2 linked regions of the Styela clava genome follow. The protein of the gene in region 2 interacts with the protein of the main gene of each other region in a pairwise test. Links are inferred from orthologs where the notes say so. Each region holds a gene or a part of one and is shown on either strand. Other genes may lie near its edges.

What was found.
Region 1: the proteins of ralA-binding protein 1-like (region 2) and ras-related protein O-RAL-like interact in a two-hybrid assay, tested with the Drosophila melanogaster proteins (6 studies listed by BioGRID). The link is inferred for Styela clava from reciprocal best matches to the Drosophila melanogaster genes Rlip and Rala.

The regions. Positions count from the first base shown.
Region 1 is NC_135257.1:11,152,501-11,156,390, reverse strand, and holds ras-related protein O-RAL-like, read right to left. Parts: upstream 3,139-3,890; 5' UTR 3,010-3,138; coding exon 2,368-3,009; 3' UTR 811-2,367; downstream 1-810. Other genes in the region: ras suppressor protein 1-like, read right to left, coding at 669-774.
Region 2 is NC_135264.1:15,712,709-15,716,644, reverse strand, and holds the start of ralA-binding protein 1-like, read left to right. Parts: upstream 1-1,471; 5' UTR 1,472-1,551; coding exon 1,552-2,539; intron 2,540-2,695; coding exon 2,696-2,855; intron 2,856-3,759; coding exon 3,760-3,936. UniProt on the Drosophila melanogaster protein: Participates in receptor endocytosis during interphase, is also involved in mitotic processes when endocytosis is switched off.

The sequences.
Region 1 (3,890 bases), on a different chromosome or scaffold from region 2:
GTTTCTCATGTTAGTTTAACACAAAAGAAATGTCATGAGAAATGTCAAATTTTACATCTATAAAATCTGGCAAACATCATCAACTTTGCAGTTGGAAGTAGGAGTTGGCATAAAAGTCCTCCTTTATATTGGTTTCGAATTGATCAAACTTATTCAGACATCTCTACATCGCACACTTAAGGACATTCATAAATATAGCACAAAATAAAACATTGTGAACAGAAGCAAAATAAATAACATAAATAGAGAAAAACAATCCAAAAAGGCATACTAGCAGAGAAACTATTACAAATTGATCTAAAACAGTATTTTAGAATATTGAATGCAGTATAGATTGGGTCATGTTTGAGATAGAACTTCGCATAAATCATGTAATATAAAAATTCATTGAATTTGATATTGCAATATAATATATTAAAATTGCATGAACAAGGCAAAAAAATTTCAAATTTGAATAATTCAACCAATCATGGCATTCAAGTCGCAACATTTCCATTACAAGTATTCAAATATAACATAACAAAGGATCTTCCACCACGGGTCATGTAACATGGAAAAAATACCGTCATATCAGATATATATACTTCTGTGGAGATAAAAACCACCTCTAAAAGTAATGTTTCTAAAACATTCAACGCTATTTTCAAATCTGGACAGATTTTACATACTTAGCCCGGGAACTTCATTCACATTTTGAATCCCTTTATCACTGAGATCAACTTCTCGACATCTTGACTCTTTCGCTTCTTCAACAATTTTTTTCAACTTTGACATTGTCAATGATTTTCAAAAAATGTCATGTATCAATAATCTAAAGAGTATGCGAAAACACAATAAAACAACAATTAGCAGAAAATTTAATAAAATATAGAAACTCGACATATTCTTACAGGTCGAAAGAATTGTAAGATTCACCAAGTTGAACAAAGAAATCATATTTATACACAGACAATAAACCACAAGGTAATATTAATAATAGGAATAATATTTATTGTACACTAAACAGCGAAATCAAAAATATCAAGCCCAAGCTATTGCATAAAATGCACCTCCCAACTTCAGATAAAAACAATAACACATAAATCATGTACTTGGACAAATATTTTGAAAAGTGTTCGAAATATTTAAATGTCAGGCTATTACATAAATCTGAAGCACTGGTGAATATGGCTGTACATGATTTACATTAGAATGACATTATTTCCAGAAAGGAATTGTGTTGTGAGCTCATGAAATATGATAAGCTGCTCAGTTAAGTTAGAACATAGCAAATATCCTGGATACCGAGATATTAAGCAGTATCATACTAAATGTTCAAATCGGTCCCAAAGGATTCAATTAGACACAGAATAATTCGTTGTATGGAAGAATAATTTAAAGATATAGATAACCATAATATAATCAACTTTAGAATTCTAAGGTATGCTTCACACAGACAGCATTTTTTCACAGAAGCTTTAAAGGAGTATCACTGCTGAGTGCAGATTGATTGTCACACCAGTGTCTTTACCAGTGATATTTATTCATTTCAAGATGTTGAGCAAAAAGTTTGAGAATACACTACAATTTTTCTACAATATCATAGCCTCAATTAAGTCAAAAATTATCTACAGGAAGAACAAGATCAATCTGCAGGTTAATATGATATGAAGTATTAACAAATTATGAATTGAAATACAATTAAATAGAAAGCAGAGGTTATAGATAAAATTGTGGAATCATAAATTACAAGGATAAAAGCAGTCATTTCCACTTCTTCATCTACAGGCTTTTAATCATATGCTATGACATGTGATTGATTACTGGATAGCAATTAATTTACCTAATAGCAACAAACAATATGTAATTTCATAGTAAAGTCCTTGGACTTCCAAAATTTTTCAAACTATAATTAGTGCCATAAACAAAGGTCCTGCTTCTCCAAAAAAGTTAACATGTGACTATTCAAAGATGGTTTTTCTCTCATTTTTTGGAATATGAAAGTTTGGGCATGAAATAAATTGTCATGACTGCAACTTTGCTCAAACATTTTTGAAGACAATTTATGCTAAAAAATGGAATAGTAGCATTATTTTTAAATAGTTTGCACATAGACATAGTGTACTCAAACAGTTAAATACTAGCGAGTTATGGCAGAAAGATGAATATAGTCTCTGACATATATTGACAAAATTTTTCAAAAAAATTAAAAGACCAAAAAACACATTTAATGTGCAGCTTTACATTGATCAAGTACATAAATCTGTAAGTACGTGCAGTTGTAATTTTGCCACTGCAAGTCTTGAAATAAAATTATATAGAGAATTGTTTTCAACTACCATTCAGATGGTCTTAAGTTTCGTGATGCGATTATGACGACATAAGGAATCAAACAATTGTGCAGCATTTTTTGCATCGTCCAATACAGTCTTCAGATTCAGGACTATTGCTTGAAGTTTGTGCAGTCGCGACTTTGTTTTTCTCATCTTTGATCAATTTTAATAAATCGAAAAATACTTTGTCAACATTGCTTCTTGTCTTGGCCGATGTTTCGACATACTGAACTCCCATATTATCAGCAAATTGTTGTGCTTCACTTTGTGTGACTTGACGTTTGTCTTCTAAATCAGACTTATTACCAACAAGAATAAATGGAATATTGTTCGCTGTTACTGAATCAGCTCCTTTAACGCGCAATATTTGATCCCTGAATTCCTGGGTGTCATCAAAAGAGGTTTTTTCCGCAATTGAAAATACAACCAAAAAACCTTCTCCGCTTCGAAAATAATTATCTCTGATGGCTGCATAGTCTTCTTGTCCAGCTGTGTCTAAAATATCTATTTGAGCATCTTCACCATCCAAAATTACTTTTTTTCGATAACTGTCAGCTTTGGTTGGTTCATAATCTTCAACAAATTCGTCGTACATGAACTGGAGAGTAAGCGCAGATTTGCCAACTCCTCCACTTCCAACCATTATAACTTTGTGAAGTGCAGCTTGAGCATTTGATTTATTTTTGTTAGCTGCCATTTGTTAACATTCGTATAGTCTATCTATCACAAAATATAATTCTCTAGTAACACAGAGGCACAATACATCGACTCAAATTATTGCAACGAAAATAGCCGCACCCAAAAAATCAAAGACCTTCGATAAAAAGGGGGCGTGGAATCTAAGCCCGAAATCACAAGCCATGACGTTACGTCACATTCCGCAAGTGTCAGGTTGACATGCAGCGCCAAAACAATAATGTATGAATGCTTAAAGTCAAAAAAAGAGCATCAGTTGAATGACCGGGGCAGTTTCTTACACCATCGTGATCGACTGAGGACACTTCAATCCAGAATAGCTGAATAGAGGTTTGGTAGTGTCATAAATAAACCATATAAGACTCAAACTCCATCATCTGAACATATTAACATTGAGGTTTTCCAGCTGTAAGCTCTGAAGTTACAAACGTATTCCGCGTGACTGTGCTCTTGAGTTTGAAATTGTCTATTTGTTAAAAGCGCTAGTTCAGGGTTATTTATGAGTCAGCTGAAAAAATATAATAGACTACATCCTATTCCTTTCTTCATTTTTTATTTTTTCATAAAATTGAGTTGAATCAATTCTGTACATACAGACATAGACGAATGCCGGTACCGTACCCGTTGCCTATTTCGGCATTTGTTTTGATAGCAATAAGAAAATGATATCCCCCCTTTTTATGAAATATACATCTTATATAAAAATATAAGAGGTTCATATTTTAGCCACGGCCCACGGGTGCTGTTAAAGACAAACTAAACAGTTGTTCTGGTCTAAGACTCATAAGTATAAGTATATTTTGATTATAATATAAGTAGACTATACTTCTGCTTTTTATGGTGACAAATAACATACATTGATTCTCTCTGTGTACTAATATT
Region 2 (3,936 bases):
ACAAGGGCTCAGCCCAAAAAAGCTGTTTCAAGAAAATAAGAAAAATTGTAGATTTTGTTTTTTCTGTAATTTTTTTATTTAACTTTTGCTGAATATTGCTTCTAACAACAATACCAGCTTAAAGCACTTATTCTATTATAATATTTTGAAATGAAGTTTACTGTATTGTTTTATCAAATTTATTTGCAAATACTGTACTTAGCGAAATGCACCAAGTTTATCACTGTGGTATATTGTGGTGACTTTTTCTTGGCCTGTAAATTGGGGATATTAATTTATTTAATATTAATGATATACTTTTTTTTTTGTTTAGTTTTCATTTTGCTTGTTTTACCTAGAAACAAAGCACTTATTCATTTATAATATTTTGAAAATAAGTTTAATGTATTGTATTGTCAAATGTTTGCAAATACTTAACGCAATGCAATGAGTTTTTACTGTGATATATTGTGGTGACTTTATGTCAGCCTGTGAATTCGGAATATTGAAACTGTTTAATGATATTACTTCTTCTTTGCTTAGTTTTCATTTTGCATATTTCACCTAGAAACAAAGCACTTATTCTGTATTGTAAGCACTTTACTGTATTGTATTGTCAAATGTTTGCAAATACTTAGCACAGTGCAACAAGTTTTTCACTGTATTATATTGTGGTGATTTTTTTCTTGGCTTGTGAATTAGGAATATTGGAAATATTCAATGATATTACTTCCTCTTTTCTTAGTTTTCATTTTGTCCATTCCATCTAGAAACAAAGTTGTTTTTATATTTTATTAAATTTTTACATATTGCCTGTCTATGCATTCAAATTTTTTTATGACTTATACTCAAAAATTATAGGTACTCCCGTAGTGTATGTACCAGTTTAGGCCACAATTTTATTCCGATTTTCCTTGTTTTAGCCCTATGACGAATTCGGGGACTGTCTATGTTAGCCAAGTGAATATACTCCCTGCCCATAGGTTTCAGTCCCTTTACACAACTTGATGTAAAGTAGGCGAACAAAATTAGTTACCTCAATGTTGGTACATACACATCTGCGCCAAATTCAAATTTATATCCACATAGTTAGAAAAGGAATATTATTTTTCACAATAAAGTTGTATATGTTTATTCTGAAAATCATGATAATATGTTGGAATAGTATTCCGATTGATTAAGAAGACTGGTTTGGTATATTTGTTTCTACTGGGAATGTTTGTACATTCCAAAATTTTAAATTTTTGTTCTCATTGTTTGTGGAAAGTTTTTTTTGCAAAACCAAGTTGGTATTGTTGGTTGGAAACCATGTTTCAATGTTAATGATTGGTACTCCCAAAGTTTGTGAACCAAGGTGGTGGACATCCGAACATAAGGTAGTATGTGTAGCATGTTAGGGTTAGGCCAAAATTTTATTCCAATTTTCCTATTACGAGTTCTGGGACTAGTCAATTGATAGTATTGTATTTGTACCTGAAATTATGTACAAATTATGAAATTGATAAATGTCCACCTTTCAATCTTTAGATTCGAAATTTTGTTAAACTAGATTAATTAAGTTGAGTTTACAAAATGACTGAATCCGGTGAGTCTGGTGAAGATACCAATCGTAAAAAGAAAAAAGAGAAAGGATATCATCATTTCTTACCAGATAATGAGACAGATGAAGAATCTCCATTTTCAAAAAGCTTTGGAACTCCAAAATCAGGACAATCTAGAAAACCAAAAACATCGAAAGGCCTCTTTAAAAAAGCTTCGTTTTCTAAAGGGAAACTTAGCAAAAAAGGGAAAACACCTGGGGACTCTTTGAACATTCCTTCTGATGTACCATCCTCGACGCCAAAATCAAAAGAACATCGCGATGCGAAGAAAAAGTCAGCGAGTTTACCTAGAGACATACAAATATCGTTTAAAGACAAAAAAGATCCGCAGAAAAAACATAAATCAAAAAAGCGAGTTTTATCGAACCCAAGCGATGAGATTCCTGAAAGCCTACCAGAAGAATCCGAGGAGATTGTCAACCCGGTATTCAAAAAAACTCTAGAAGAGGCAGTGCAGCGCACTTGCTACCACGATAACATCCTTTTACCTGCTGTGGTACGAGACTGCATAGACCATTTGGAGAACAAAGGTCTAACAGCGGAAGGAATATATCGGATATCTGGAGTAAAAGCAAAAGTCGATGAACTCATAAAAACCTACAACCAAGAAATTTCTCCGGATTTGAATCAATACGACCCATACACAGTTGCAAGTCTTTTAAAAAATTATCTACGAGAATTACCAGAGCGTGTCTTGACCGACCAATACTCCATGAAGTTTGAAGAGGCTGCTAGTGGTTCAGATAAAATCCGAGCGACCAAATCAATTCTTCAAAATCTCCCTGAATGTAACCAAGTTTTGATTTCGTGGTTAATCGTACATTTCAGTCACATTATTGATCACGAGAAGGAGAGCAAAATGACGATACAGAATATTTCGATCGTTTTAAGTCCGACGTTACACATCAGTCACAGAGTTTTGAATTTATTCTTTACTCAAGCGAAACAGATTTTTGCAGGTATGTTCTGCTCCACTGGGCATTTTTTACGAAACTTTCAATTTGATATTTATGAGACGTTTTCATATGATCACACCAGAAAAAGTACCATATATTCTTGCAATACCTAAGCGTTTCAAATACTTTCAAATTCAATTTGTCTTTTTCTCTTCACAGGGGTTGAAATCAAACCATTAATCAGACCAATGAGATGGCAAGACTGGGCCACTATGCCTCCATTACCGAAAGATCAAATAGAAGTTGTTCAAGAAATAAAACGTCAAGAATTTGTTTTAAATCGGCTTCACTCACAATTACAAGCTGGTTGTAAAGACAGGTAATATTTCTTTGTTTCCATTCTGAATACATTTTGTACATGCAGTACCGACTAGGTATGAAGTTTACCATACTCATAAAATTTTGAATTATGGCAGATCATAGAAAATGTCTCCTTGTAGATTATGGTAAGTATCACGTCCCATCCAGGATATGATAAATAGGGTAGGCAATCCATACTGTACAGACTTGGCTTGTTTGAAACGATGTAACTCTAAAATTTGCTGATAAAAAAGTCCCTAGAGAGTGCTCCAGAAGTGTATGTGTACCAATATGGGGGTAAATAATTTTGTTCGCTCATTTTACATCAAGTTGTGTGAAAGGACTGAAACCTATGGGAAGAGAGCTAACACAGACAGTCCTCGAACTCATAATAGAACTAAAACAAGGAAAATCGGAATAAAATTATGGCCAAACTCTAACCTGGCACACATTTTACGATGGACCGGCAATCCACATTGGATTTGTTTGAATCAATGTCCCGTGCTCTCTAAAATCTGCTGAGAAAAGATTTGCAAGGATACTTTACATACAGTGATCAAATAACACTATTCATTATTATAAACCTTATGTGTGTTAATTCTAATTGATTAATTGTATCTGATGTTCTTTATCATCTATTCCATTAGTCTCAATGTCTAACAAAAACAGAAGTTCTGAAACTAAACTTATTTTATATTAGATCCTTGAGTGTTGCTGCTTGATACCAAGCTTTGGTTTCTTGCAGCTTCCCATCCCCAGTTGAAATGTGTGCCTATCTTTTTTCTTCATATTTTGTTGAAAACTGACTTTTTTACTGGTTGAAAAAAATAACTTGACTTGGTCAAGCACTGGCTTATATGCTACAGATTTTGTATATGCTTTTTTACAGAAACCAATAAAATCATTTATTGTTTAAATTTCAGAAAAAAAGATGAACGTTTATGGGAAGTTCAGCGTATCCTTACACAATTAAAACGTCTGAATCGAAATTTCAAAAAAATGCAATCACAAACCAAACTAGACACGTTAACTATGGAGAGCATAGAACGCAAGCGTAATCAACTACGAAGCAGTCCTGGGAACCGTAGCACTAGAAGCAT